Rhinolophus ferrumequinum: one gene and its partners. Each later gene encodes a partner of the first gene's protein in a complex. Links are inferred from orthologs where the notes say so. Each region holds a gene or a part of one and is shown on either strand. Other genes may lie near its edges.

The links.
Region 2: PFDN2 (region 1) and PDRG1 share a complex: the UniProt entries of both Homo sapiens proteins name them as parts of the PAQosome complex. The link is inferred for Rhinolophus ferrumequinum from reciprocal best matches to the Homo sapiens genes PFDN2 and PDRG1.
Region 3: PFDN2 (region 1) and RUVBL1 share a complex: the UniProt entries of both Homo sapiens proteins name them as parts of the PAQosome complex. The link is inferred for Rhinolophus ferrumequinum from reciprocal best matches to the Homo sapiens genes PFDN2 and RUVBL1.
Region 4: PFDN2 (region 1) and ASDURF share a complex: the UniProt entries of both Homo sapiens proteins name them as parts of the PAQosome complex. The link is inferred for Rhinolophus ferrumequinum from reciprocal best matches to the Homo sapiens genes PFDN2 and ASDURF.

Annotation. Positions count from the first base shown.
Region 1 is NC_046305.1:2,296,125-2,304,323, reverse strand, and holds the start of PFDN2 (prefoldin subunit 2), read left to right. Parts: upstream 1-5,058; 5' UTR 5,059-5,124; coding exon 5,125-5,199; intron 5,200-8,199. Other genes in the region: DEDD (death effector domain-containing protein), read left to right, coding at 218-364, 811-1,187; NIT1 (deaminated glutathione amidase), read right to left, coding at 2,499-2,765, 3,040-3,165, 3,309-3,442, 3,624-3,727, 3,820-4,280. UniProt on the Homo sapiens protein: Binds specifically to cytosolic chaperonin (c-CPN) and transfers target proteins to it. Binds to nascent polypeptide chain and promotes folding in an environment in which there are many competing pathways for nonnative proteins.
Region 2 is NC_046306.1:22,577,313-22,585,327, forward strand, and holds the start of PDRG1 (p53 and DNA damage-regulated protein 1), read left to right. Parts: upstream 1-4,405; 5' UTR 4,406-4,492; coding exon 4,493-4,579; intron 4,580-6,185; coding exon 6,186-6,261; intron 6,262-7,297; coding exon 7,298-7,372; intron 7,373-8,015. UniProt on the Homo sapiens protein: May play a role in chaperone-mediated protein folding.
Region 3 is NC_046302.1:1,214,129-1,221,723, forward strand, and holds the start of RUVBL1 (ruvB-like 1), read left to right. Parts: upstream 1-3,961; 5' UTR 3,962-4,057; coding exon 4,058-4,261; intron 4,262-7,595. UniProt on the Homo sapiens protein: Possesses single-stranded DNA-stimulated ATPase and ATP-dependent DNA helicase (3' to 5') activity; hexamerization is thought to be critical for ATP hydrolysis and adjacent subunits in the ring-like structure contribute to the ATPase activity.
Region 4 is NC_046291.1:39,096,220-39,104,054, reverse strand, and holds the start of ASDURF (ASNSD1 upstream open reading frame protein), read left to right. Parts: upstream 1-4,610; 5' UTR 4,611-4,752; coding exon 4,753-4,848; intron 4,849-6,591; coding exon 6,592-6,645; intron 6,646-7,835.

The DNA of each region.
Region 1 (8,199 bases):
AGCCCCAGTTCTGCCGGCTTAAGTGAAAGGACACTGTCCCCTCACGTAGCCCTATAAGCCAGGTGAGGCACTGTTGCGTCACCTTGGCCCTTTGTCCCCAGGTGTCCACGACCTGGGGGTCACATCGTGGCTACTGTGTTCCGTGCTCAGTGTGATTCCCCCCTCGTTGCGTGGCAGGTGTTTGACTTTGTCCTCTCCCCTCTAACCCTTTGGTCAGTGCCTCCCCACTATCCTGTGGTGTGCTGCCCCACTCCGGGCCCTCAGATGTGTAGCAAGAGGCCAGCTCGAGGGAGAGCCACACTCGGGAGCCAGCGAAAACGCCGGAAGTCAGTGACAGCAGATCCCAAGGAAAAGCAGACATGTGGTGAGGAAGTGGGGGCTGCAGAGGGCACGAGGACTGCGGACCCTGGGCATTTGGGCTCGCGTGGTGGCTGCACAGCGAGGCTGGGGTGTCTCGGGCTCCTCCCCCTCTGTGGCAGGGTGCATTTCAGCTCTTTTTAGTTGATACTAAATCAAAGTGGTGCCATTGTGACATCCACATTGTACGGTGCCAGGTCATGACAAGGTAGTGAGGTGACTAGGAAAAGGCCTGTTAGAAGAAGGGGCCGCTTGTGAATGATGGGGAATCTGGCCTTGGCCTGGCCCACTTGATCCAACCTCCTGCGTTAGGGCCAGGGTCTCTCAGGCCCTGGGAAGGAACGAGTCCTAGGGGCGAGGTAGGGAGTGTCATGTGTTGCCCACCCTGTTCTGCCAGCCTTTCTCGCACAGCCACCCCTGACCGCAGCCTCTTGTGCACGTCTTCCTCCCCAGACATCAGACTGCGGGTCCGGGCGGAGTACTGCCAGCACGAGACCGCGCTGCAAGGCAACGTCTTCTCAAACAGGCAGGACCCGCTCGAGCGCCAGTTTGAGCGCTTCAACCAGGCCAACACCATCCTCAAGTCCCGGGACCTGGGCTCCATCATCTGCGACATCAAGTTCTCCGAGCTCACCTACCTCGACGCATTCTGGCGCGACTACATCAACGGCTCGTTACTGGAGGCGCTCAAAGGTGTCTTCATCACAGACTCCCTGAAGCAGGCCGTGGGCCACGAAGCTATCAAGCTGCTGGTGAACGTGGACGAGGAGGACTATGAGTTGGGTCGACAGAAGCTCCTGACGAACTTGATGCTCCAGGCCTTGCCCTGACCTCCTTGGGGCTGCCCCGCCACTCACGTCTGGAGCGCACACTGTTCTGTTCTGGGGTTTGTTCTTACCCTGCCAACCAGTCACAGCCCTGCCTTTTTTTTTTTTTTTTTTTTTAAGGAAAAGACAAAGAACTATGGAAGCGGTGTCCCCACCCCTCCCTGCAGCCATGTGCCTGGGCTTCCTGTTTGTCCCCCTTCCCACTTACCCCATGTGTCTACAGCCACCTTGCCACTGAGCCAGAAGACAGATGTGCAGGGACAAGCAAAGGCTGTAGCGCAGTCTCCGTTAAGGGACTGAAGTGAACACTGCGTCTGCGTGCGTGCGTGGGGGTCAGCAGTGCTACTGGCTTCATGAGGGCTCTTAAATCCTGTCTGAAAAACCAAAGGGCTGTGAGTAAGGGAGCTGTGTGGAAGGTGGGACTCGGAAGTGGGTTTTGGAAATTAATCACCACCCTCTCCCAAATTACAGAATTTTTTAAAAACAAGCTGTGGCCCTTCCCACTGTCTCCTGGCCTCTGGTGCTGCTCCTCTGCCTCATTCCCTCCACACCATGGCCGAGACCTCTGCCTGGTGTGGCTCCTCCTTTGTCCCCTTTGTTAAACCCTCAGGGGAGAGTAGGTAAGAGGAATAGGTCAGTCTGGTCGCCCCTCCCCACTGACTGCGGTGTGTCTGTGCACACATGCACGGGTGGGCGGGGCGAGGCTGCTGATGAAAATAGACTCCCCCTGAAAAGGGGAAGGGGGAGTGTGAGCCTTCCTTCCATGTTCAAGTGAAAATAAATGATGGACCCTGCAGCCCTTTTCCCCTTTGCATCCTTCTGGCTTGGGCACAGGGCACAGTAGGTGAAAGTGAAGGAATTTAGTATCAGCTCCCTTTTTTGTCCACCCCCGCCCCCACTCCCACTCCTGGGCTTGGGAGCATGGGGCCAGGCCATGCACTGAGTGTCGCACTTTTATGTAGGTAGGGAGGCCTGTGGCGTGAGCCAGGAGGCCTGGATGGCTCCTAGTCTGCTGGTCCAGCACCACCTCCCATTTCAGCTCCCGAAGGAGATGTCCACACACAGACTTTATGATTATTATATTTTTTTTCAATGCCAGTGCTGCTCAGCCCTCAGCATAATTTCAGTTCTCTTGAAATAAACAGTGACTATATAAAATTCCACCTTTCTGAAACTGAAATCTGAGCTCAGGTGAGTTTCTTCTTTGCCAAGAAGCTGAGCCTCCAAGTGAGGGGAGCTGCGCCTGGGTCCTGCCCATAAGTTACAGCAACCCCGGCTCACAATGGGGGTCTCAGCGCCCCAAAGTGAGAAGTCTCAAGACAGTGGGCCACCCAGACTGCCGTAGAGATCAGGCCTGCGGTGCTGGAACACAGGCAGGTGTTGGCGCAACTCGCGTAGATAACGGAGGTCGATTCGGGCCAGGCAGAGGCCTGGTCCCTCAGAGCAGCGGGCCACCACGGTTCCCCAGGGGTCCACCACCATGCTGTGCCCGTAACTTGCTCTCTTCTCATGGTGGCGTCCACACTGTGCTGCTGCCACTACGTAGCACTGAGCTTCAATGGCACGGGCCCGCAGTAACACCTGGGGGTGGGGATGTGTTTCACTGACGCACACACGTAGCAGCTAGTGGGGAACTGACAGGCAATGGACACTGCAGGCCAGTCTACCCACTGTGACCATTCTGGTAACTGCCTAGGAAAGATTTACGATGTTAACTGTTCTTTAACATATGAGAGGCAACAATCTGGAAAATGAATTTTCTCACTAGTTGGGAAGGGAGAGAAAGTCTGTCAACTGGCAGGGCCGAGGGAAGACAGGTTGAGAGAAGGTGTGTTTTGAAGAGGTGTCCTCTTACCTCCCAGTGGGCTGGGCCTGTTACGGATCCAAAAGCCGAGGGGTAGGTAAGTATTTCTGCTCCAGCCTGAGCCAATGCCAGAGACAGTTCAGGGAACCGCATGTCATAGCAGATAGCAAGACCAATCTGGAAGGAAAACCAGCCTGCTTGGTTAGCCCCCATCCCGTCTGTCACAACACTGCTACCCTACTCCTTAGGGCTGCTGCTCCTCTACTACATGCCAGTGTCCCTGTTCCCCTCCCTCTCGTCCTACTATATGCCAGTCCCACCTTGCCTGCTGGTGTGCTGACGGGGGACTTGAGACTGGGCCCAGGCATGGTAGAGCTGCTTTCATGCATAGGCCCCTGCCCCGGAATCTCTACGTCACACAGATGCGTCTTCCTGTAAGTGGCCACTACCGACCCTGGAGTAAAAGAGAGGAGGAAACCTGGGGCTGGTTCTCTAGAAGCCCAGCTTTTAGTTCCTCTCATCCCAAGGTGATAGTTCATAGGCCAGGAACAGAAGTACGGATACTCCTGTTGAGAATTCTGGAGAATTGTTTAGAAAAGCCTGGGAAGAGGCAGACTAGAGTTATGACATCTCACCCTCGCTGTCCAGAAGCACATGACAGTTGTAGATTTTCTGAGTCTGCTCCCAGTCTTGGCCACGCTCGTGAAAGCCACCCAAGGACAGCCAGAGTCCACATTCCCTGGGGGAAGGGGACACTGACACTTCTCATATCTGGCAATCCAGAGACATTAACCAACAAAGAAACTCCCTCCCTCCCCCTTTCCCTGGTACCTGGCCAGCTGCGTATATTCTCCCAAAAGGCTCCCACCCAGTGGCTCAGACAGGTACAGAGTCTCTGCAGGGTCGCGTGCAATGAAGTCAAATGCCTCAGGCAGGAAAGCCAGGCAAGCGCCCAGTCGGGCGGCCTCTCGAACGAGCTCAGCACACGCTTTAAAGTTGTGCTGCTTGTCTGGTGTGGACGTTACCTGGCACACAGCCACCAGGGGTAGTGCCCCGGAGGAGGAGGAGGAGGAGGAGGAGGAGGAGGATGGGGAGTGAGCCATGGCTCTGGCCCTGCGGAGAGCGCAGGCAGGACTCAGATTTCCCAGCATGGGGAAACCCAAGTTGAACGGCAAGGGGCTCAAATGGGGAGGCAAGAAAGCTGGACACCCCTTTGACGCTGCTGTACAAGGAACAATGGCCCACCGATCAAATGTTCTGTGGATGGCTCGTACCCCACTGTCTCCCGCCATCCATTCATCCAACAGACATTTGAGCACCTACTACGTGCCAGGCACTGAAGATACGACAAACACGTTACCTGGGCTGAGCACAGAGTACTGAGAGTCGAGGTATCCGGAGTCCAGGGCACAGAAGGGACAGGAGCTGATGAGGCCTTACGATGAAGCCCTGCCTGAGGAGAGTGAGAAATAAGGACACCTACCCCTCCCTCAAGCCGTGAATTTCTAGGCTTCTCTGACTTCTCTCTTCATACTGTGCCGCTGAATCAGGGCCCTGCCTGTCAACACCCCCCTCCGCGCCCAAGTCTTGAAGACGCTCTTTGTTACAGGTAATTATGGGCCACGGGAAGAGATCACAAGATGGGAAGAAGGACGAAACCTCGACTTCGCGATCTCGCGTTAAACGGAAGCCCTCGTCCTCTGCCCGACGTCTCAGCAGTCCAAGGCCTCTCCCAGAGACTTCCTTGGTGCTCCCCGCCTCTCCTTTGACAGTGCACCTCCCGCACACCCCAGTCTGACGGCAGGTTCACCCTCCCTGGTTCCCAGCACCCGCGGTGGACGGGGGCGCTGGCACGCGGGCCCCAGCCCGCGCCCCCACTCTCCCGTTAACCCGTCCTCCCTGCCCTCGCAGCGCGGGCATTTCGGCTGCACAGGTCAGAGCACCGCGGGCGGCATTCACCGCGGCCGGCGGGACGCGGAGGAGGCCCTCCAGGAAGACACGGCCAGAACCACTCGCAGGGTCCTAACCCGAGAGCGGCCTGGAGGCGGCGGCGCAGGGGCGAGCGGGCGGAAACCCCGCGGGCGGAAGTGACGCACGGGTCTGCTCTGCGCGCCGGAAGCCCCTCGGGCGGCGAAGATGGCGGAGAGCAGCGGTCGCGCGGGCAAGAGCAGCGGGAGCGGCGCGGGGAAGGGGGCGGTGTCGGCGGAGCAGGTGAGGAGCGGAGAAGGCGGAGGAGGGCAGCCGGGCAGGGCCCGGAGGCGACGCGAGAGGAGGGCAGCCTGTGGCTGCTGCGGGCCTCACTCCAGTCCCGCGCTCGGTGCCGCTCACAGAGGGGAGGGTCGTGGGAGAAGGCAGCCGAGCCCTGCGGGAGAGTGGGCGCGTTGGAAGCTGAAAGCCGCGCCGCCGTGGGGTGTTGGGTGAGCCCCCTGGAAGCGAGAGCCGTCAGATGCAGGGCCTGGGAAGATGCACAGGTCTGGCGGGACGTGGGTCGTCACGTCCCCCTCTTTTCCGCACCCTCAGACGGGATGTAGCTGGGCCGGGCCGCTCGTAGCGAATCCCAGGGGGTTCGTCCTCGGGCTGGTTGTGTAGTGTTACCCGACCCTGAAACCAAGTTGACAGTTGCAGTCACTGCAGAGCCACGTGACGCACATAGCCGAACACTCATACTGTTTTGAGTCGGGAGTCATTATTAGGTTGAATTTCTTTAGAGGCCAGAAACCCTCTTCTAATCCGAGTTTGCATTCCCCCTAGTGCCCAGCATCGGGCAGCGTTTTATAAATTAATCAGAACGCCTTTTGTGGTTTGGGAAGCATGTTTTGCTAATAGTGGGGCTACTGTTTAATAGAGATGAGAAGAAATCTACACAAGAGAAAGGAAAACATAGCTAAACAGTAGCTCTTTTAATTACAGATTCCTTCAGTAGTTATTCGTTGAACAATTACTCAGGCAAATGTATCAGCGTAAAGACGTCTTTTTTCAAACTGTCCCTTGCCATCGAAGAGTTCTAGTCTGCTTGGGGAAAATACTCGTAAGATAACACGAAATGTTAATATAAGGCAGACGGTAAGTGTCCGAAGAGAGCTATAAAGTGCTGTGGGATTTTGAGGAGGGAGGAAGACATAGCCTCAGATTTAGTTGGGGAAAAGGGAAGGGAGAGGGAACCTGATACTTTTTGAGGGTCTGCTATGTGCCAGATACTCTGCTGGGTCCAGGGAAACAGACGAATGAAATAGACCTTGTTTTCAAGGTAGCTTGACTCCTTTGAGAAAAGACAAACCAAACAATAAGGTTTGCAGTGTTCCACACAGGCCCTTATTTAGGGCAGCTAGAGGAGGGACCCCAACTAAGCAGGAGGTTATGGGATTGGGGGTGGTGGCAGAAAGGGAAGCTGTGGTATAGCAGGGTGGCTAAGACTAAGATAAGAAATGCACCGGGGTCGGACAGACATGTGTTTGACCATTTCTACCATAGAGGATGACCTCCCAAGAGTTACTTCTTCGGCCTTTCCTGCCCTGTAGAAAACCTAATGGTACCTACCTCTTCATTGAATACTGGTTATTAAGCAAGACAATGCATGCACAGTGTTTTGCACCGTGACTGGAATATAGTATGGGCTTAATAAGTGCTAATTATTTTGTTTTCTAGAAGAGATAATCCTTCAGCTCCATTCTAAAGGATGAGAGAAGTGAGTCAAGCAAAGAGGAAGTGGAGGATTTTCTAGGTAGAGGGAACAATGTGTTTAAAAGCACTAAGATATGAAACTGCCTGACATGTTTGGGATGCAGGTGAACTTAAAGTTCGAAATGGTCTGCAAGACTTGAATGTGCAGAAAATAGGGTGAAAAGAGAATCTAGGATGTTTCTCAGGCTTTTGTCTTTGATGAATGGTGGTGCCACAGGGAGTATAGGAAGATGGACAAGTTTGGGGGGAGGGAATAAGTTTATTGTAGGATTTGAGTTTGGGTTTCTTGTGGGACATCCAGGTAGAGACATTTATTAAGTGGTTCGACTTATGAATCTTGACTTCCAGAAAGAAATCTGACTTGGAGCTCTAAGGTAGAGAATTGTGGCTTTCTGGATAGTAGACAGAGCCACGGTTGTGGATGAAATCATCTAGGGTTTGTACAGACAGTGAAAAAAGAAGCAGAATGGGGTGGAACCAACATGTAAGGGTGGTGGAGAAAGAAGCCCTCAGAAGACACTGAGGAGTGTGATCATTGAGTTCTGAGACTGTTCTTGCTTAACACTCTGGCTTTTGTTTGTGTTCCAGAGAGAACGCTGGGTAAAAAGCATAAGATTTATCATTGCTGCAAATAGGAGCCACATATGTCACTTATAAACAAGATGGAAGCAAGTAACTGATTGTGCGAGGCACTTTACTGGTTTTTCTCTTCTGTTACTTAATTACTGCCATTGAAGTAGGCTGTATTGTCTTCCCTTATAGATAAGGACAGTTGAGCTTCAGAGGCTTTAGTTCACTCACCCAGAGTCAGTAACTGGAAGAGCAGGGCTTTTAATTGAGGGACTTGAGAATCAGACAGACCTACTTTTTTCACTTATACAATGATCAGACCAGAAGAACGTGAACTGAGCCTGAAGGAGTGGATAGTTTTGAACAGGGGTAGTGGAAACAGGAAGAAGGGGAGAACACAGAGCATAGATTGATGCGAAGGGCAGTGACCGGTTGTTTTAATGAAGTCATGAGGTATAAGTCAGAAAGATGTGATCTTCCAAGTAAGTTGGATGTTTGCACGACAAAGAATTCTGGAGTTGTTGATGGAAGCAGGGAGGGAGTGATAGAAGGGTATGTGTTCCACTATTGAGTTTTTTTCCTATTACATAAAATAATACACGTTCATTGAGAAGATTGTAGAATACACAGGGAAAAGTACAAAGTAAGAAATAAATTACCATGACCTTGCAATCGAGAGAGAACCATTCTTACTGTCTAGGAGCATATTCTCTGAGAGATTTCCCCTCCTTGTGTGTGTGTGTGTGTGTTTGTGTGTGCGCGTGTGTGTGTGGATAAAAAGGGAGGACGTGTGTATTTTACATATTTTATAACATTGTCATTCTACAATATATACTGTTCTATAAAAGTTGTATTATATAATATATACTGTTTTGTAATCTGCTCTTTAAGCTTAATAATACATCATGAACATTTTTCTATGTCATCTAAGTGTTAGGAAAATGAAACCAGCAGCAGTGT
Region 2 (8,015 bases), on another chromosome or scaffold:
GAGAGGGGGTGGAGGCCTCCCCTCCACTTACCAAGCCAAGGGCACAAAGGAAGCAGAGGGAGGAGCTGGGGACCACCCACAAGAGCAAACAGACCATCTGTGGGACAGGGCCATGTTGTCAGCAGCTGGGAGGCCCAGCCTGGACTACTCAGAGGCCAGAGCCCATGGGGCAGTGCTCAGGCTGCCTAGAGAAACAGGATATGAGCTGGCTTCTCACTGCCCCAGCCCCCATGCAGCCAAAGTCCTGTCCGTCTCCGTCTCAGCGTCCCCATCATCCCACCCCTCACACACACACACACACACACACACACACACACACACACCCAGAAGACTGCTCCACACTTACCTCTTTTAGCCCATCCTATCCCCACAGACAGAGGGACTTTCACAAAGTAAACCGAATCACGTTCTGTGCTTGCTCAAAACCTCCCAGTAACTTCATACTGGTCTGGGGGGAAAAATACAATCCCCTTACCTTAGCCAACAAAGTCTAGCATGATCTGCCATTCCTGCCCTCCACCCTCCCCCACCTTCAGCATTGGGGTTAAGAGCTTGGCCTCAGAGAGAATCTGCCTTGGTTAGGATTCTGGTTCTTTTTCGAATTCATTTAAAAATGTTTATTGAGACCTACTATGGGCCAGACACTATTCTAGGCATTTGGGATATATCAGTAACAAATGAGACAAAGATCTCCGCACTCATGGAGCTTCCTTTTTAGCAGAAGGAGAGTAACAATAAATGTAATTACATAGCACGTGGGAAAGTGACAAATGCTATTTTTAAAAATAGGTTTTTGGTGGGTGTTTTTTTTTAGGAAGTTGATCAGGAGTACTGGGCGGGGTAAGGGTTGCAGTTTTAAATAGGGTGGTCAGGCAGACATCATTGAGAAGATGGAATTTAAGCAAAGACTTGTAGGAGGTGAGGAAGGGATGCAGATGTCAGGGGAAGTGCAGGCACAGGGAGCAGCCAGTGCAAAGGCCCTGAGGTGGGACTATGCCTGGCATGTTTGAGGACTAGCAAGGAGGTAGGAGATGCCTCAGAGAGGTAGGGCCTTGTGGACCTTGGTGGGGCATTTGACTTTTACTGAGTGAGATGGACTGTTGAGGCGGGTTGACCACAAGGGAGTCGGGGAGGCAGGACTGGGAAGGAAGGAAGCCAAGCAGGGCTTGCGGATGTCTCGTGGGTGGCCGCTTCAGCCTGGCCCACAGGGAAACTTGAGTGTAATTATACTTCAGAGTTATCCACCCACAACCCCGCCAGCTGCCCAAGCAAGAAAGGTCATCTTTCATATTCCTGGGTTAGGGGAAGGGTTAGGATGGGTTAGAGGAAGGGTAAGTCTCCCCAGGAGGCTCCAGCAGCCTTGAGGGCAGTCCTCCCCAAGGAGGGAAGTGGGTACTGGTCACTGAACACTTATCCAAGGGGGGTGCACAGAAACAGTAAAAAGGGACCCAAGGGGAATGGGTGAAGGATCGTTCTTCCTGGCTGCAGTCCCCAACGCCCCAGCAGCCATGTTCTTTTGGCCAGGGCTTCGGGTGGTTAAAGATGGGGGGGCATACACCAGTGTGACCAGGTAGAGTTTATTTGGTTAGAAAAGACTTAGTAGGTATCACCCCCATTCAGGACTGCAGAGGGACACACCCTCTGCAATATTCCGACCATGTGGCAGTCCAGCCTTAAATACCTTCTGGGATGGGAACCACTTACCCTTGAGTTAGCTCTGTTTATCTTTGGATACTTTGTATTTTAGAAATTCTGCTTCATATTGAGTCCACTCATTCATTCTGTAAACATTGACTGAGCACCTACTGTGTGCCAGGCACCATTGTAGATTCCAGAGACACAGCAGCGAACAAGACAGATAAGGTCTCTGCCTCGAGGAGCTCACAACTAGAGAGGGGGATGATTAGAGAAAAAAAAGATGGTGAGGTAAATGCAGAGATGGGGGAAGCCCAGGAAGCTGTGGGGGACAAGAAGGGACTCTTGACCTATGGGAAGAGGTGACAAGCTGATAAGTGGGGGATACGTAGTAGTTACACAGGTACAAAGGTGTGGGAGAAAATTAATCCAGGCTGACTGAAGAGTGTGTGCAAAGTCCCTGAGAATCTCACCAGTGCTCACCATCCCCACTTCTACCCCTGGTCCAGCGACCATGCTATCCCACAGAAGGGCAAAGAAACTGGGGTATGCAGCCACTAACTCCTTTCTCTTCTTAGTTGAGGGCCATTTCTGTGGACATTGACTCACTGCATTCTGCACACAACCTGCATCTGTGAGCAGAGAGAAGCAGGAAGCCACAGGTATGGGCAGCAGTGTCTGCAGCTGACTTCCAAGGAGGGCTTCCGAGGCCTTACATGTTGCATGTCTCCTTCCCCTTTCTGTCCTCACCTCCTACCTTCTCTCCCTTGCTCATTCAGTTTCACCTACAATGGCCTTGCTGTTCTTCCAATTTCCAGGGCATTTGCATCTGCTATTCCCTCTGCCTGAAATGCTCTTCCCCCAGATATCCACATGGCTCACCCCCTTACCATCTCCATCTCTCTGCTCAAATGCCACCTCTTCAGAGAAGCCCTCCCTGATAACCGTATCTCAAATAACCCCTTCATATTCCCTCTCCACCTTGCCCTGGTCTATTGTTCTCCAGAGCTCTTAATCACCACCTGACATGATATATTTACTTGTTCATGTGTTTTTTTGTCTGTCTCTTCCACCAGACTGGAAGCTTTTTGAGGGCAAGGACCATGTCTTGTTTTGCTCGTGGCAGAATCCCTATAACTGGGCTGTCAATAAATATTTGTAAAATCGATGGTTCTGAAACAAGAGTCCTTTCAGGTCTAACTGTCTCAATGTCTTGGATATGACCTCCCTCTCCAGCACTTCCAGTTGCCAGGGGTGCCCTCTAAGGGCCGGTCACAGCCAAGAATTTGTCAATTTGGGAGTCTCCCTCAACCCTTCCCCATTCAGGCCCATTTGGCAGGGGTCAGAGGTCAGCCTGGTCCAGGCCTCTTTGGGTCCCAAAGTGGAGGAGACCCAGTTCTGGGGTCTAGGTCCCAGGAATGCCTAATGAGCCCCATTTTTCCTTTGGCAAATGTTCCCCCTTCCTTCCCAGGGCTTGTGTCTGCATTTCTGAACCAGAAGGTGTTTACACAAAACATCCTGGGTTTGGCGACAAATTCACCCTCAATGAGGAATCCTTAATGAATCTCCTTCTTTCCCTATACCAGGCAGCTGCAGGGAAAATTAGCTCTGCCTCAGGCAGTTGAAGGCAGCCAACGGCCAGGCAAAGAGGAGATGCCATTGAGACTTCTAGGGCCACAGTTTTGGAGAGGGCTTTTTTTCAGGGTGCAGAGATTGCTGTGGAATGGAGGCCAGAGAGCTTCTAGACCCACATTTGCTGCTGACATTCTAGATGACAAAGCATGGCCCTTCTCCCACCCGGAGTCTGCAGCTGTGAGATGGGGCAAAGGTTATTGTGAAATTCAAGTAAGGCAAGGGGTGTGCAAGGGCTTGGTCACAAGGGGCCAAAAGGGGAGAATAAAAAGCTAGACTTGGAGGCAACAGATCAGAGTTCTAACATCAGGTCCGCTGCCGACTTTTAAAAGTCCTTGCCGCATTCTGAGCCTTGGTTTTTCCAGCTATACAATGAGGGGTTTGGGCATGATCTCTAGGGAACCCTCTGGTTCTGAACGGCAGCCACTTGCCATCTGCCTGCCTCTTCTTGGAGGTCCTCCCCGATCCTACAGCCCACACTGACTCGCTTCCCAGAACGTACAGAACTTCTTTTCTGAGCTGGAACTTCATTACTCACTGCCTATGGTTTTCCAGCCCTTTCCTTAGGTCTAGGTCAACTACTCCAGACAGTGGGCCCAACACAGAGGTCAAAGTGCATTAAAAATGATTCCTGCCTCCTTCTGATCCTGCGGAAAGACAATGAGGGGGATTTTTATTAACCCCTATTTTATAGATCGGAAACTGAATGTATAAAATTAAATATAAGTCGCACTGCCATATGAGCCTCCTTGGTGTTCGCCAAACAGGGCAAGAATGATTTGTTTCTTTCCAAAGCCCTATCAGTGCCTGCCAGAGTATATAATTATTTGTTTTGTCGTTAACTGTTGGTGTTTCCTACTAGGATGAAGTTGCACGAGGGCAGGGACTTTTGTTTTGCTCACTGCTGCATCCTCAGTACTTAAAACTGCCTGTCACATAATAGATTGGTGCTCAAGAAATATGTGAGGGGAAGAAGGAAGAGATTGAGGCCACACTGCGGCCTGTGCTCTCTGGGCCTGCAGGGGGCGCTCCAGCCCTGCCCCCAAAGCTGGGCCCCGCCTCTCGCGTTCGGCTGACGCGCATGCGTTGGAGCCTGCGCGCCGCCGTTCGTTTTTTAATTGCGCATGTGTACTGTGAGTCCTCTCAGAGCGGCGCGTGCGCAAGCGGAGCTGGAGCAGACGGTGAGCAGGGTCGCGGCCCTGCGGAGTTGGAGCTGCCGGTGACGATGCTGTCCCCCGAGGCGGAACGGGTGTTGCGGTACCTGGTGGAAGTGGAGGAGCTCGCCGAGGCGGTGCTGGCGGACAAGCGGCAGGTGGGAGGCCCGTCCGCGGCGCTGGCGCCTGGGTTCGGCGGTTGCGGCCTGGTGACCAGCGCCGTGGGGAAGCGCGCGGGGTCCGGGATCTGGCTCCAGCGCCGGCTGGCAGTGAGTGGCCCGGGGCTGGTGGTCCGCTGGCTGTAAGGACAGACATAGGGCAGTTGTGAGATAACGTGGTGGAACGCTGGGCACGGCACCGCGCTTCACCCATTTATACGGCACGTCTTAGGTGAGCGCCTGCTGTGTGCTAGGCATCCCCTCTCTCTCCATCCTTCCTCTGCCCCTTACCGTGCTCTCCGGATCCCGCTCCATTACCCCTTTGGGCGGTTTACCTGAACCCCTTTTTCAAAATGCAGTTCCTGGTACTCTCAGTGACTTGGGTTGCACCGCCCCAGTCAAGGCCCTGAAGGGAGAAGAGGAATAGAAAAGAGGCCTGAGTGGTTTGTGATTGCGCAGGGGTGGGGACGCGGGAGGAAGGTGAGGCCGGGGTCGTAGAGGGCCTTGTGGACCTGAAGAGGAAGCTCGGGCCTGGTTCTAATTGAAGTGCCGGGTGTTTGAAGGGAGTTCATGGGGGGCGGGAGGATGAGATCATTGGATTTAGGTTTTATTAATAAAAGGATCCCCCTGGCCGCTCTGTGGAGCACAGACTGTAAGGAGGCAGGGGCCTGGTGGGGGCCAGTTGCCACAGTCCAGGTGAGGGATGGGTTTGATCCTGGGCGGCGAGGATGGAGACAGCGGATGGGTCAGAAATATATTTTGGAGATGGCCTTAGTCTCGATGATGGTTACATAGGGGTGAGAGCGTAGGAGGAGTCAAGAATGAGTCATGACTCTTCATCTCCAGTTAGAATGATTGATCGATTGGTTGGTCTGGTATTTACTTCGAGGGAGAAGACTCAGGAAGAGCTTATTGAACAGGGCATCAAGGTGTACTGGGCGATGATGATAGTAGTTAAGATTTATTGAGTACTTACTGTGCTAACTCATTTTGCTCCTGGCTCAATGACTAGGAGGTGAGTACTGTTCGTATCTCCGGTAAAGAGGAAGGTGGAATTGCACAGCACATAGCGGGCAGCAGGATTCAAACCTGGCTATTCTGGCTCCAGAGCCAGCGCTCTCAAGCAGCACATTGTACCGCCTCCTCACTTCCTTAGCAGCTGTTGTGTTGTTACCACCGTCTCAGTGTCCCACCCCTGCTGATCCAGTCTAGTTAGTTGGGCTTCTCATGATACTAATTAAGAATCAGCTGGAGGAGCTTGTGCAGGGAGAGGTTTCCACTCCCCTGGTGATTCTGAAATGCCCTAAAGCCTGTGAACTAGCACTCCAGTGGATAATAAAAATTATCCGTTTAGTTAACAGACGTTTTCCCAGCACCTTCTCTAGGGGGAAGACACCTGTACAAAGCATGGTCTTTAAACATCTGAGAGCTAAGTGGGAGAAAATATATATTCACACATCAGCCCATTTTACTTTCAGGACACTGGAAGTAAGCCAGGAATAACGCCTTGTTGTCTCTGTTAGGTTTTAATAGCCCCTGGTCTGTTGTGAGGTGATAGGCTGGGGCAAGAGGTAACTGTGTTCCCTCCTGCCTCTGAACTTTTCAGATTGTGGACCTGGACACCAAAAGGAATCAGAACCGAGAGGGCCTCAGGGCCCTGCAGAAGGATCTCAGCCTCTCTGGTAAGTCATGACTTCCTTACTGCAGCCGAGGAGGCCTGTTCCGTTTTCCATCTTGTACTTAATAGAGAGACCAGGCAGGAGGCCACAGGTCTGTGGCACGGCCTGCCCCTGGAGATAGGGGAGAACATTTCACAGGTCTGACACTGTGGCTCAGGGTTTTAGCTGCTCACCTCCATGACAAACCATTAGCCACTGGCTCACCAGTGGCATTAGGAAAGTGCTGGGAGGTATACAAACTGCGGTTCTTGCCCGTGTGTTCTACAGATGAGTAGAACGACATAAATACATAATTGAAAATTGGGAGGAAGTTGAAGAAGGGACTAGACATGGGGTAGGTGTTGGAGGAGGGAATGGGGGCTCTTTAGAGGCCAAGTGGCTGTAACAGAGGAAGCATAGGGGAAGGGCATTTGATGAGGCTGGGAAAGATGGGCCAGAGGCCAGGCCACAGTGAAGGGAAGTTTGAATTTTGTTTAAAGTGCATTGGAAAGTCTAAAACCTTCCAGTTGTTTCTCATCTCACCAGAGTAAAAGCCAGAGTCCTGCAAGACCCCATGTAAGCCAGACGCCCGTGAGCACTCCAACATCATCTCTACCCTCCCCGCACTCAGTGACTCCACTCTCACTGCTCACCTTGCTGTTGCTAACACCTCAAGCACATTCCTGATCTTTGCTCTTGCTGTTTCCTCTGCCTGGCTCACTCTTTCCCCCCATGTTTGCAGGACTCACATCCTCACTTTGTTCAAATCTCTGTCCAGATGTCACATAATTGGTGAGGCCTTCTTAAACCACCTGGTATAAGAAGTCCCTCCCCTACTCTGGCATTGCCCAGGTGTCTTACTCTCTACAGTAGTTAGACTTGTCAGAGTCTGACAAATGATACATCTTTGCTTGTTTATTCCTCCTCCTCCACTATGACTTAAGCTCTATGAGGGCAGGAACTTTGTCTTGTTCTGCTGTGTCCTCAGCATCTAAAACAGTGCCTGGCTGGTAGTAGGTGCTCCGACATATTTGCTGAAGGAATGCATTTGCCATTTCAGACGATGTGATGGTTTGCTTCGGGAACATGTTTATCAAGATGCCTCACCCTCAGACAAAGGAAATGATTGAGAAAGGTAAGGCCTCCTGGACATGGGTCGGGGACACAGCTGCCTTCCCCACCAGCCTTAGTCTTCACGCAGAACTGAGAATCAGGCTTCGGGCAGCTTGATGAGAAGCGCCTGTGTTAGAGGGTTCAGACTGATGTTGCTTTCAGTCCCTGCTCTGCGGAGTTATTTCATCATCTGTAAAGCAGGGGGTGGGTATTGCGTGTCTCCATAGCACAGTTGTTGTGAAGTTGAAAGAAAACAGTATGCGTGTCTAGCATAGTGCTTGCTTGTCTGTGAGGAACAAGTTGGACCACAAATAACAGAAAACCCAGCAAACTGAGGCTTAAGAAAATATAGTTCTGTTTTTCTCAGGTGAGAAGTCCAGAGGTCAGCAGCCAGGACTGGCACTACTTCAGCAATGCCACCGTAGCATATTCTCACGGTTGTACGTCATTGCAGGCCTCATGTCACCTCATGCTTGGAGGTGACAAGACCACATTTGTGTGCCAAGAGAGCTGTGCACTCAGCAGGTGTTACTCAGATCTCCACAACCACAATCCCTGAAGCTCTTTGGAGAAGCATCATAAAGGCAAAAAGTCAGGCTGCAAATCGGTCTTTAGCAGGGAAAAGGGCAGGTTATACATATTTTTCTCGCTCCGATCCTTGAAAA
Region 3 (7,595 bases), on another chromosome or scaffold:
ATTGAATATGATCTGTGTTTTAAGATGGGAAAGATTGAGTATGTTTATATCCTGTGGGGAATGATCAGGGAGAATAGGTGGAACTATACGAATAAGGAGGGTAATAAGTGGAGAAAGGCCTCTGAGAGATGTAGTGGGGCCCAGATTGTTATCTGGAACCCAGTTAGTAGAGATACCTTGACTAGGAGGAAGGTCATGTGTGTCTTTGAGTCAGCACACAAGAAGAACCCAGCAATGCCCGGCAGATTGCAACTTAGGGTGGAGAGGAAGAGTTGCTTCCCAATCTATCTTCTCTCCTTTTTTTACCTGGGAATAGAATTTTTAGTGGGGACATGTATCTTTTCAGCTAATGACTATGTTTATCAGCCTCTCTTCAGCTATCTGTAACCATTTGATTAAGTATGACCATTGGAATAGGAGTAGAAATGATGATGCAACTTGAGGTCAAGGTTAAATGGAAGGAGCATAGCCTCCCTTCCCCCTTTTCTCCTTCTTGTTGGTTCAAACATAGGCTTTAGGGGGGAGCTTGAGCAGTTATCTAGGGCCATGCACTAGAAGGTGTGTGTGGGGAATGGCAGAATAAGAGAAAGAGGAGGACAGATTCTTAATGATTATAGAACTCACCAGGTGGAATGCTTGCTTGGACTTTATGTGAAAAAATGTAAATTTTATCTTGTTTAGTTCACTATTATTTTGTATCTCTCCATTACTGTAGCTGAATTAATATCCTAACTAATATGACATTTAATCAGTAGTTGGGCAACTCTGTGTGCTCAATTGAAGCTGGAGACCATGACAGTGTAATGGCTCCATGGGGACACTGAATAATTGCCTGCCGCCATACACAGCAGCCTTCATGAGGCAGTGGAGAAGGTAGAGGTAGTCTTGATCTGGGCATGTGGGTTCAAAGGTCAGGTGTGAAAGAAGTCAATGCAAGGAGGGAGCAGAAGGGTCGGAAACCAAGTGGCTGAGATGAGCAAACTTGGAATGTAAAAAAGATGGGTTGGAGGGATTGGAGTTGACACAGCAAGGGTCATGGGAGTGAAAAGAGTGAGAGAATTGGCAGTTCTGGTGTTTTCACACAGCACAATTCTGGAATGTAGCAGTCCACACAATTATTTGCATATGTATCATCACATTGATGCGGATTTTCAATACCCACAGATAGAAACCTAACTCAAATTATTTTAAGCCCCAATGTGAGTGCCATACAACATTGTAAGAAGGGCAAGCCTGGATCTGGGAATGTAAAGGAATTTATCAGGAATCTCTGTCAGCTTTCCTTTCCTATGTGTTGGCTTCATTCTCAGGCGGTCTTCCTATGAAGTGACAAAGATGACCTGGAAACCGATGACCCAAGTTTTCTTTCCTGATTTTTCCAGTAAAAGTGCCAGGACTGTCATTGGACTGTTCACTCACATTCCCAAACCAATCTCCATGTCCAGGCAGATGAGATACTTTGATAGGCCAGAGTTCTGTGTCCATCCCTAAAATAACGCTGGGTGTTAGGGGCAACCCATCCAAAGGATTTGGACTCAAAGTGGGGGAAGGGTGGTTCTCTAAAGAAAATTAGAGTGATGGTAGCCAGAAGAATTTGAATGGATTCTGGGTAGGTAAAATAACCCATGTCTACTACTATGGGTCTCAACTGCCCTTCATTCACCTTGTGTATCTCGGACACTGGCCCACCACATAGACTTCCGTCAAAATGAAAGGAACTGTCTGGCTCTGCAACCAGGTCTAGCTTCTTTGCACACCAAATCTGGGGTCAAGGACTGTCAGGCAATTGTTCCATTTGTGAAGTTGGACAGTTTCCATCCCCTTTGAGGGCCTCTGTTGCCTAACCTGTAAAATGAGAAGGCTAAGCCAGATCAGTGATTTTTGAACTATTCATTAGCAGTAAAAAAAAAAAAAAAAAATGGAACAGCTCTGGTGGAAGGGGAGGTAGGGGCATGGAACAGGTATCCTGCACTCTCAGACTTCCCCTTCCCCACTCATAGTGGCCATGAAAGAATACCACAACTCCAGGGAATGTGGTTTGAAAACCACTGGACCAAGGGCTCCTAGGAATTCCTCTAAACTCCAAAGTCCTTATCTCCTACCCCCATATTTGGCTGGTAGGAAATCTTTCCCTTTACTCTGTGCCAAATAATAAATGTAAAAATGGTCTTCTCTCCTAACTGGACAATACACAAAGAAGTTAGTTCCATACAGTACCTCATTTTGACTACTAGTTGGAAGAAAGTCTTCCCCTTTCACAGTGTGAAAGGAATTGCTCTTAACCAAGGGTCATAACCAGGAATAAATTAATGAGATGCTAAGCAACCTTCTGGGTGTCCTAGAGGTGATATCCCTAGGGTTGATGTATCGCAGGTCATCAGTAACAACCTCAGCTCTCCAAGGCCTTGCTTCTACTCTTTTGGGCTCTGAAAATGCCACAACATTCCATTTACTGATAGAAACCATTACCAAGTCCCAGAAAACCCAGTTTGTAAAATACATGCAGCAAACTGCATGATTTCAAGTGTGTATGTGGGGAGTCTAGAATCTTATTTGAATTCATAAGAAGGCTTACTTGTGAGCCAGGCTGTGTACCAGGCACTGGGGTTAAAATGATGAACAACACAAATGTGGTCTACACTCTCATAATGTTTGTAGTTTAGTGGGAGAGACAAACATTGACCTAATACTCTTGCAAACTAATTAGAAACCCAGATTCAAAAGTTATAATGGAGAAGTACAAAGGGATGTGAGTCAGGAACTACTGCAGCTGGATTTGACTTCAGGTCTGTCTCAACCCTAATGTAAGCTGTCCTATGTTCTGGGCAAGTCTTTCCCTTTCTCTGGACCCCAGTTTACTCATTTGTAAAAAGGTGACATGCCACCTGCTTCTGAAGAAGACTTATCCATTCATCAGGGTTTGGCCCAGGCATTATCACCTCATGACGCCTTCCCTGGCATTCGAGGCTGTTCTAGGTGGCCTTGCTCTGGGCTTGCACACCAGGTGGGGTGTACATGTTCCTGCACATCTAATGTTGCAAATTTCCTAACTAAGGACTAAGCTTATCAAGGCTGGAGATTTTGTATTTTATCTCTGTATTCCTAGTACATTGCAGTGTCTGGCTCAAAGCAGGTGCTAACAAATATTTGCTGAATGAATGGATGGATGGGAGAGTACACTGTGGTACAGGGAGTGTTAATATCATTATGGAGCCTGACAGGATATATTTGCTGGCTGATTGTCTCATCTGAGGTTGTGGGATGGGATGAAGATTATACAGGCTGTGAAGCCTTAAATCCTCAGCTGGAGTTCCAATTCTGTTAATTACTTGCTGTGCGTTCTTGTGCAAGGTTATTGGGCCTGTTTTAGCCTGTCTTTATCTATATTAGGAATTATACTACCTTACTGGGTCGTAGAGTTTTGGAAACATAAAATGTTATTTGCAGCCAACTTAATTTAAATAAAGGGAGAGGGTGGAAGCCAGGAGAAGCAGAGGCCAGTTCCATGGAGGATACCCAGCAGCACATGGGTGGGAGTGGTTGGCTGGGGTGGGCCTTCCCCGGGAGACGCAAAGGCGTGGGAGCCTGAAAACTCAGTAAGCAAAAGTCAAAGCTTTCGCTGTAAACCTGTTTCACCATCTCCAAAACGGAGGTAAGAGCTTGAACTTCTCTGAAGGATATGACGGTCCAATGCGAAATGCACAGGATGGCACGGTTAAGACTCACACCTCAGTGCAGAGTCCCAGCCCCAGACGAAACTTCGAGCTTATCCTCTCTGTGTTACCGCCCCCGGGCCAGAGCAGGAAGCTTGGGCTGCGGGGGATGCTAATCCGGCAACACAGCCGGAAGTGGGTGGGGAGAGCCCCCACGGCCGCCGCGATGGGCATAGTCATGAGCCAATGGAGAGCAGAGGCGTTTCCGCCTTCGCCAATGGATCGCCGACCAAGGCGGGCCCTGACAAACCGCTCTAGTAACTGCCGCATGGTAACCTGGGCCCCGGGTTTGGGCAACTGTCTCCTGGTTTTCCACTCAGGTCTTGATTCCGGACGTCTGCAGGATGAAGATTGAGGAGGTGAAGAGCACCACGAAGACGCAGCGCATCGCCTCCCACAGCCACGTGAAGGGGCTGGGGCTGGACGAGAGCGGCCTGGCCAAGCAAGCGGCATCGGGGCTCGTGGGCCAGGAGAACGCGCGAGAGGTGTGGCGGGCGGGCCAGGGGATCGGGGCGTTGAGCACGCCGCCGCCGCGAGGGGCCGCTGAGGTGGGGGCTCAGACCTGGGTGTGCGCTAGGGTGTACCGCTGACGTTTCTTCGGAGCAGTGAAAATTGGCTGTGGGGGCGGCGAGGGGGCGCCTCATGGACTGGGAGTGGAGCCGTTCCAGAAGAGCAGGTGACGGCCCCACGGGGGCGGTTGACTGCTTGCTTCATCTTTGGCAAGTCTTGAGGGAGTCCTCCACTCCGTGCCATGCTCTGTTTGCGACGCTGGGATCCAGCGGGGAACAAGATAGATGAGGTTCCTGCTCTCATGGAGCTTACATTTTAGTGTGGTGAGAGACGACAAACGTTTAAGCCAGTAATTATTATATTTTATTGGAGACCACTTCCTGCGGGGCTTTGCTGACCGTGGGAAGGAATTTGGATTTTTATGAACGCAGTGGGAGGCTGTGGGGGTTTTAAAGTACGGGAGTGATCAACCTGAAAAAGCTCACTTTGATTCCCAGGGCCTGGGACCTGAAGGAGGGAAGTGGGAGTTACAGAGAGGAGCAGCCTGCTTCACTCATGCTCAGCATCCTATTGACCATTCCAATTCAATCTACTTTTATTAAGTGGCAACTATGCTAAGTCCAAAAGTATTACATTATAATCACAAAACTATTCAAGCTTTTTTTTTTTCAGATTAAAAAATTGAGGGTGGGAGAGGTCACTTCACCTATACTCTTGCCACTCAGTTTAGTAATGATAACGGTAGGATTTGTACCCTCGTGTATTTGTACCCACGTGTACACAAATTAGTGCTCTCTCAGCTTGCTGTGCTCTCAGATCCATGCCTCTTGGCCTCCCCACTTAGCAGCTACAGAAACCTTAATTGAGACTGTTTCCTCCTCCCCTAATTGTACTAATACAGAGGACCAAAGAAAGGTCTCTGGCTTCCATTTTGAGCATCGTCTTTCCAAAAAGGAAATATTGGTATGGTCAAGGTGGCTTTCAAATTTCTCTTTATGTAGCTTCTGCTTACTGAGGACCTGTTACAGCAAATAGCTGACATTGGTTGAGTGCTTTCTATGGGCTAAGCACTGTACTAAGCAGCTTTATCTCCATTGTCTTGTTTTCACCACCCTAATAATTGTTTCTCCCTGACTTTAGGACACACACAAAAAGTTGTAAGACTTGTATATTGAATACCTGTGTGCCTAAATTCTACAGTTAACATTTTACTCTGTTGCTTTATCATATATATATATTCATTTATCCATCCACCAGTCCACTTTTGCATTTCAAAATAAGTTGCAGACTATAGTACATTTTACCCTTAAACCCTTTAGCATGTATGCCACTATCATGAACCATTTCAGATAAGGAAATTGTAGTTCACAGATGTTAAGTAGGTAGGTCCAAGGTCACTCCGCTGGTAGTGGTAGAGCCATGATTTAAACCCAAGTCCAGAATCCATGCTCTTAACTCTGATGCTGTATGCCTCTGTACAACTATGAGCTTCCTGAGCATAAATATATTATTAATATTATTAAATATCCAGAACTTGACTCTTTATAGGGGCTCGGTATTTATTTATTGAATTAATAGGCATTCCACTTCAGCTACCAGGTCCTTGTATGACTCTGGTCACATCAGCAGTCTTGTTGGTGTTTGATATCCTCATCTGAAAAATGAGAGAGTTTGACTAGGTGATCTTTTAAAGGCCCTTCCACTTTTTTAAATTTTAGTACTCACTGAACATACCTCACTAGAGAAAAGTTGGAGCCTAAACTGACGAAGGTTAAATGGAAGAGGTCCTAGTGTGTGAATAAGAGTACACATCCAAGGTTTGGAAAGTCTCTTCTATCTCTTTTGAATTTCCCAAAGACTTTCAATGCTGAGGATTATGATATGACAGGTTCTATGGAAAAAACCATAGTGGCTCTGTTATCTTTTTAGAAATGCAGCATCCGAAGACTAGCTTCTAGGCTCTGTTAAGGGCACTGTGCTTTTCCAGCTGAGCCAGAAATGGAATATAGCACATCTACACGCATTCCTTGAACCCACAGTTTCTTAGGGGCTGTCATAAGTGTGGGATCAAGGTACTTCTCTACAACACATGGGGAATAGTGGTAGAGGAGATAAGATAGATTCCCAAGACTCTGTTAATAGGGTAGTGTTGTCACTGCCCAGAGAGAAGAGCTGTGGCCTCCCTTAAGGCAAGGAATTTGATCTTGAGGATTTGGAAGGCGTTTAGTGAATCTTAAGGTGCCACAGGTTTAACCTCATACAGCATTTATTTTGTAGCATCTTGGGATGGTTAACTGATGGCAAACTAGTAGTATATGTCATTGATTCTTAGCCCTTAATAGGTTAATTTGGAAATCTGATGAAAGCTGTAAATCTTCTCCCTGGAAAAATGTACAGATGAACATATACGCACACTTTTATTTCCAATTTCATTTCCAATTTCAGAAAGTTTGTGGGCTCCTGGAGACTATCTCTGGTCCCCAGGCTAAAAGTCACTACTCTCATTTGTACTCCTACTGTCTGTTCCTCCACACAGCAGCCATCAAGATCTTTTAAAAACAAATCATCATAACATGATACATAGCCTAAGACCTTTTCAGTGGCTTCCCATTACATGTAGAATAAAATCCAAATATTACTGTGGACTCTCTAAAATTCTGTTCTGAGTTCTGGCCCCTGCTTGCCTTTTTAACCTCATCTTCCCATTCTTGTTTGTTATACTTTGGTCATTGTAGCCTTTCTGTCCCTCGGACATACCAAGCTCATTACTATATTTTGAATTTACTATTTCCTTTGACTGCAACACTGACTTCTGCCCTGCCCAGAGCTTCACATATGAGGTATGATCAGAAAGTACGGTGAATGTTTAAATTAAAAATTTATTACAGTAAAAGACACATTGCCATTAATCCCCCTCAAAATACTCCCCCTCGCTTCGAACACTTATCGCATCATTCTGGCCACTTTCTGAAGCAGTTCTGGAAGTCCTCTTTTGTGAGTATCTTTACTTCACCCTCCATCATGACAATGCTCCGTGTCACACATCACTTCTGTTACAGCAACTTCTGTCAAATAAAAACATCACGGTGTGTCCTCATCCACCTTACTCACTGGATCTGGCACCCTGTGACTTCTGGCTCTTCCCCGAAGTCAAAATGACCATGAAAGGTAAACGTTTTGAATCAATTCAGGACATTGAGGCAGCCATGACCGTGCAACTAAAGATACTAATGAAAGGGGACTTCCAGAACTGCTTCAGAAATTGGCAAGAACGATGGGATAAGTGTGTTTGAAGCGAGGGGGGTATTTTGAGGGGTGTTAATGGCAATGTGTCTTTTACTGTAATAATTTCTTTTTTATTTAAACTTTCAC
Region 4 (7,835 bases), on another chromosome or scaffold:
TGTGATAAGGACCTGGTAGACCCCGTTCAGATACTAGATCCCTGCTTATAAACATCAGTCCAACATCTCAGGCCCTTTCATCTTCTAACAGAATTCCTGATGCAAAACACCTGTGTGAGATTACCTCTCCTTTGATTTCACCTCCTTGCTATTTGGTCCTACAGCCCCTCCTGACTCCCGCCCCATGCGATTCCCAGCACTGTCTGCTGCTGAGACTGCCCGTTGCCGGCGAGTCTAGGATTCTTAAAGGAGTTTGTGGCTCAGTCTGTCTCCTTTCAGTCAGCTCCCTGTTAGTCCTACCCCACGAGAATGGGCAGAACTAGCCAATCATTGTAACAACCAAATGAGCCTCCACCTATTTTCGAAAGTATCAACTTGGAACAGCCCTAGCTAGCCCTATTGAAAATCAGTGGAAGTAAAAGAGAAGACATATCTTCAAAGATAACTGGGCCAAACATTTCAGAGCCTAGTTTTGTCCATTCCACTGGCTCCTAAACCTGTGTGTCAAAATCATCTGAAGGAACTCCTGATTCATCCATTTAACACATACTTAAATAGTGCTTACTATGTGCTTGTAGCTGTTATAATAAACACTACAAATATTAACTCATTTAATCCTCGTTACAACCCTTTGAGGTGGGCACTATTATTAGTCCCATTTTACAGATCAGGAAACTGAGGCTTGAGAAGTTAATGACTTACCAAACTCACACATCTAATAAATGGAGAAGCCAAAATTCAAACCCAGCCATTTTGGTTAAAGGTTAAATGGTTAGCACTATGTTATACAGCAGACAACCATATTCCATCCACAAACATTTGGTTTAATAAGTCTGGGAAAAGGACTGAGAAATCTATTTGTATTTGAACAAGACTTTCAGGTGATTTTACATAGTGAGAAGGGCACCCACCTACTAACTGGCATTTGGGGACCACAGCCCTATTCCATACCTCCTTTGGGAGAGATGGGAAAGAGACTTTTGTGGCTAGAGACAAATCTGTGGCTAGAGACAAATCCGTATTATGAGAAAGCAAGGGAAAACTGTGGTTGGGGTACTATTCATCTAAACCTTGGAAGCCAGGCTAATAATATACATCACTTTAACAAAATGGTGAATGGTAAACTATGCATTATTAAACAAAATGAAATACATTAAGAATGTAGCATCAGAGGAAGTGTATATATAGCATTAATAAACATGAAATTATCCTATTAAGTAGAATAAACAACAGCAATGGACTTAAATGAAAGAAGAAGTACAGCCGAGCTAGTTACATGGTGAGCTGCTGATGGGTAGTCCTAAACCAGTTAGACAAATGATACCAAGTGTGACTTCAAGCACTGCCGGAGTTACAACAGCTGAGGGGGGAAATAGAAGCAATTGGAGAAACACAAAAAAATAAGATAAAATGTGAAAGAACTTTGAAAACAGTTCAGCACCATACTAATAAGATTATCATATCACTACTGCATTTAGTATTATGTCATCTTGGGTGACCCATGTAAATCAGTGGAAATATCAGCACCAGGCAGAGCCATAACCAACAGCCCACCCCCAAAAGGGCATGAACAGCTATAGAACAATCAGTAGGGTTTCTGGCCACTCAGTATGGAAATCATGTGGGTCAAAGAGTCAATTCAAGCATTAACTAGAGTTCCCAGTCAGGCAGACACTGCCATAGGAGGAGGGGTAATATTCATCTAAACCTTGGAAGCCAGGCTAGTAATATACATCATACATTAGCCAGGATAATAATACAATACACACAATAACACACATTGGTCTACAAAGTAGACCAATATGCTGGTGTCTCTTCAGCTTCAAACGTCACCATCACTCTGAACACTAATTAAAATGTCACCCCAGGTGTCAGGGGAGACATGTTCCTAGGTTCCTACCAGCTTAACTGTGGTGAACCCTAAAGATTTGGGGGAATGGAGTTAAGAAAAGACGAAATTTCAGTTTTTAATTAATATAATATTTGGCAGTAAAGTTTAAAAAAAATTATCTTGTGAATAAGGCTTCCAAACTGAATGTACTGTGCCAAAATTTAAACATATTTCATAGTTTCTTTTCGGCGCTAGGTATTATAAGCCAATGCAAATCATCTTTCATCAAATCATCTTCAACCTACTATATAATTCCTCAAGTTTTGTCTTTCATTGTGCTTTTTCATATTCTGAAACAAAATAATTACTTTAGAACTCTCTTTTTCCTTACAAAACAAGACTCATCCCATTACCTTGCATTCTCTATTATTCTTGCCTTTAATGTGATCTTAACCACCCATATTAGTTACAACTTTTAACCAATTTAATAACTTCTGTTTCATAGAGAGAACTGGAGGTAGATAATTAGTAACTGTCATATGCAAGCACTTTAGCAAACAAAGTTCATTCATACACATAACTGTCTACAGCCACACACATTCCCTTTACACCTTCTGAAAATGTCAAAAATGAACATGTCCCTTACATTATCCAAAAGGATAGCCATTCTATGGCATATAAAAACAAGAAGCAAAAGTATGTAAACTTAAAATTATGCTTATATTAATCACTGTTTCAGTATTCACCTTTTAAAATAAATTATCTAGTTATCTAATGATTAATCATTAATTAACTCCATTTGATATTTTCTCAGGGTTTTAAGCTACCTAAAAATTTGGAATTGTGTTTAAATTTATACGGTACGAAATATAATTATTGTTGACATAAAAAGTTTGTCTGAATAATTACTCATTTTAGTGAATACCAATTTACATTTCTCATAAATTTAAATATTCTGTAGCAGTAATGCTAGCTTATTTAATCAGTAAACCAGTGTATGAATTAGGAAATTCAGATTAAATAATCTCTTCATGAGAAAACAAATCTAAATGTCATAAAAAATAAAACATCTACTTGTATTTTACTTAGCATTGATAAATGCATTTTCTCTCTTAAACCCAAATTATTAATCCAGTCTGATTTCTCCAAAAATTCACTTTAATTTCTCCAAACATATGCTTCAAATGTTTCTAAGCTAGCAGAAGGACTTTATTTTCTTAAAAGTCTAGCACATTTAAAGTATTAGAAATTCTGGGCTTTTTTTGAATTTTGGGATTTATACAAGTGCATAATTATGTCTATAGACTGCCCTTTAATTTAAGAGACATTATAATGGAATTTATTAATACCCTCCAAAAGTACAAAAACATTTTACATTCTCACAGCAAGATATACAAGCCATTCTAAATCATAGACACAGACACAGACACTTTATAGCTTCAGTGTTCCAACCTCTATCTCAGGTTGAAAGTAAACATAAAAATTCGCTAGCCCATATCTCAAAAAACTGGTCTTTCCAATGAGCACAAAATTCTTAATTAATTTGAGCTTGCAAAGGACAAACAAAAAGATTAAAAACTGGATTTTCTGCCATCTCTCTTCCAATAGAGACTGGATCTCCATCACCCAACAGATATCACTGAATGATTAGGCCATAAAGCCCAATTCCCAATCGCTGCTGCTACCAATGTGTAATAGCCACGCACAAATCAGAAAGAAAACCAAAATTTTTTTAAATCCTTAAAAATGAAAACAAACAGTAAACTTAGTTTTATAACCACTCTGAATTTATTCAAAGAGCCAATAAAAGATAATCCTGGGCTTAAACAACCTATGAGGTACATTTCCTTAGCAGAGTTTGGCTCCATCATGAGTCCACACGGGCAGCTTCAGGAAAACTTGAGATTTTCAATGTTAAAGTATAATTTTCAAAAATATAAAATCATATTTGTCATGCAAATATAAAATGAACATATGTCAAAATCTTATTCAACTCATTAACTGATGTTGGAACAGGTAAGACATTTAAACCAATTCAGAGGGTCTGTGAGAAGATAGGCCTATGTTAATAAAGACGCGTTAGTGTAGGATTGCAGGGTTAGACACAAAACTGGTTAATGCCTTACAGAACAATAAATCATAACCTGTGGGGTTATCCGGTCCACCAAATAGAAATTATTTGCATCTCTGCCAGACAAAAATCTACAGGTTAACCTCTGCCCCTACAGAACTGTAAAATTGCCCAGTCTATAGAAAGTCAAGCCCACAAAAGCACTGAAAGAACATCCAATAATTTCTTGCCTGTTCCCAAGTTTTGGATAATTTTTCCCATAGAAGTGAGATACTGCAAATACTGTGTGGGACGTACTTATACTAAAAAGTTATTCGTTTATCTGAAATTCATATTTAACTGGGCATCCTGCATTTCCCTTTTAACCCCAATAACACGTTAACAAAAGCTTTACCAAGTCTGTACAGTTTCGTTGCCAACAATGTATCTCACATCTGGGCCTCGGCTACATAAAAAATATTAACTAGAATTTCTACTGCGTTTCTATTCTTCATATTTACCACTAGGGGGCGCATACAACTCACAGTCTACTGGTTGCGAGAATGTGAAGAGGTCACAAAAGTCTTTCTATATCGGATCCACTAGGGGACTGTTCAGGAACCTCCCAGATTTCACAACCCGGCTCTGCTCACGCGCTTCCCTCAGCACCTGTGCGCACGCGCGGAACTGCGCTCATACCGGACCCGGACTGCGCAGGCGTTGCAGTGAACGCGCAGACGCTATTGGTAGGACTCATGGGACCGGGGAGAGGGAGGAGGTGGAGCCTTGGGATGGTGGACGTACTGAGTCGGGGGGCTCGGAGGCTGCTGAGGCGCTAGCCGGGCTGCGCATCCTGCATGTTTTGCGCTCGATGGAGATTCCCTTCCGGGAGGCGCGCCCAGAAAACGGAGCCGGGCTGGTCCCAGCCGACAACTCGGCCCCTCACAAAGAGGAGCTTAGCTTCAAGGTGAGTGTGGGACAAGGCGAGAAGGCCCACGGGCGCGGGACGGGGTGCCGCTGGGCCTCAGAATGCCCACCGCTGCAGCATGGCCCGGCCTCGGCTTTGCCCACCTCGGCTTCGCTCTTTTTATTCTTAGCTCTGGACAGTTACAGTTAAGGGGGATCCTGAAACTTGCCCCGAAATTAGACCCAGTTGGGGCAGTGGGGCGGAGATTTAGTTGGGATTAAATTTTTAGAAATACTGCCCAACCCAGATCCGCTGCCGATATTCTCCATCTCAGAAAGTGTCACCGCCATCCATTCAGTTGTCCACCATCCATTAAGACTGCCACTAAGTTGGGAATCATCCTTGACGTCCATCACGTCCTATTCGTTCTGCTTCTGAAGCTCATTTCACATAAGTCCCTTTGTCACCGTGTACACTCTTAACCATCCTAAACCAGCCACCTTCATCTACTTACCATCGGAAACCCAGCAAAGACTTTCAAACGCCCTTTATCATCCATCATTACCTTCTTCCAATCTATTCTCCACGTTAGCCAGAGCAACAATCGATCCTAAAACACACGTCTTATTGTCATTCCTCCACCCTCCAAAAAGGGGGAACGAAGCCAGTATAATATAAATCTTAACTGGCATTAAAAGACAAAACCTTTAAAAATATGTTGGAGATGGGGATGGTTATAGCCTTTGAGATACAGATGTCCTCGATTCTTTGCTTCAAACCCAAACTAACATTGACATCTTGGGCAAGTCTCTAATCCCTCTGTATCACAGTTTCCTTGTTTGAAGTAAAGAGAAAAATGACCTGCCGTTCCTAAAATGAATGGGAAAGCGATGTTCAAACCTAAGTTTCAAGGAGGTTGTGCATGGTCTTCCAATTTAACTCAGTCTAGTCAGTTACTGCACTGACTTAGCTGGAAAGACAGAGGGATATACACTCCTGGTGGGTGAATTTTCAAACCACACATAGTCCACTCACTGCCATAGCAAGCCACTTACACTGATATGACAGATCCCTGAGGAGTGAGGCAGAACAGATTATAAAACCTGATTTTAGAGATACTAGTGATACTATGTGATCAGTCATGTTCACAAAATAACCACCATTACTGAAAAAAGTTAGAAATTCAGTTTCCACTTAGTTGAGTCCTTTCCTACTTATAAAAAGTGAGGCCTCCTTCAGCAGTGTCAGCGCTGTGCCAGTCTTTGGCATACAAAGACTAATGAAGAAAGTTGGAAAGTGATAGGTCTTACTGCAGGTACAGCATTTAGTACACGTGCTTGGGCTGCACCATATAGTACACAAATCATGAAAAGTGTTGGTATTTGGTGGGGAGGGGGAAGTAGCCCACCCCTCATTCCATTTGCTATTTATTATTGAAATAAGCTAAAACATAAAAGAAATCATTGAAAAACTGGTGCCTAGTGTCTGTTTCAAGTAAAAGATAAAAACCTTGATTGTTAACCATGGCCCTTGAATGAATGCTGGTTACCAACACCAAACCCTCTGTTTGGATTCAGTGGGTTGTCTAACACTTGGCAAGTTTAATCGCTGTTTCGTCCCTCAGCCTTTCCACACCTGTACCCTCGCACAGACTGCTGTTGAAAAGAATCTGTGTTCACAGATTGCCAATTTGGACAATCAGTACATTATAGCCCCTTATCCCATCTCTACTTTTTTTTAATGGGCCCTCATTCAGCATACTTCAAGAACCTCTGATTTAAGAAGTTTTCTTTATTTCAATAGATTAAAGAACAAAAAATTGTTGTGGATGAACTTTCTAACCTGAAGAAACACAGGGTAAGTTATTAGAGTGATTCTGAATAGTATATGGGAGGGTTTGATTCTATCTTATTAACTGTATACCAAAGTTGTAAGAATTTTATATATGATTTGTAAGACTTCATCATTTTTTTAAACTTCAAAAGTGAAAAGTGTCCAAGATTATGTAAAATCACATATAGATATCTGTTGATAATCATATCTATAAACATACAGATAATCATAGTTGATATTATATTTTTCCCCATCATAAAACTCGTACTACCTTAGAATCAAGTGATACTAATGCTACTATGGTATCTTGGAGCTGTATTCACTAATGATATTTATTTTGTACTTGAATTTGATATTTTCTTTAGAAATAAATGAACTTTAAATATATTGAGGAGAGAGGGAACTATTCCTTTAAGTGAAAGTGGATAATTGTTGAAAAACAAAAAGGATAAATTACTTCTCCTATCCCTCAATCTTTTTTATACAAATCTTCCAAATATTTAATGTGGTTATTTAATGCATCCATAAACAAGCAAGCTCCTGCTTCATCTGTAGTTATACTGTCAAAAATTACATTTTAAAGTTCAGAAGAAATGATTTTGTGCTCTTTAAAGCATATTAAAGATTTGATAACTGACAGGTTAAACATTTCTGATGTTGTCACTTAGGTAATATTAGAGGTTAAAGCACAATTGATACAGACTTTCTAGAGAACAAATTGGCAGACTATATCAAAACCTTAAAGGCATACAACACGTTGACCCCACTGTTCCATTTATAGGAATTGATATTTAGGAAATAATCATGGGAGTGTACAGAGATTTAGTTATAAAGACATTCATCACAACATTGATTTTTAATAGTGAAAAGTTGGTAACACCTTAAATATCTAAAACTTGAGGATCGACTAAATAAACTGTAATATGTTATACAGTAATGTTGTAAAAGACCACTTATTAATAAGAAAAAAGTATTCTCACTGTATTGTTTATAGGTAAAAGCAAATTATATAGTGTATAGCAAAGATTTGAAGGAGGATTTACTCTATAATTTTTGTAAATTATAAATGTGTAGCAGGCTTTTTTGTTAAAGAAATATGGTATTATGGTACAGAAAAAAGAGTTTTACCGCAGTGACAATGGTAGCAATTTCTAGATGTCGGGATAATGGGTAACTTTTGTTTATCTGTGTGCTAAGGTATTGTTTTGCAAATG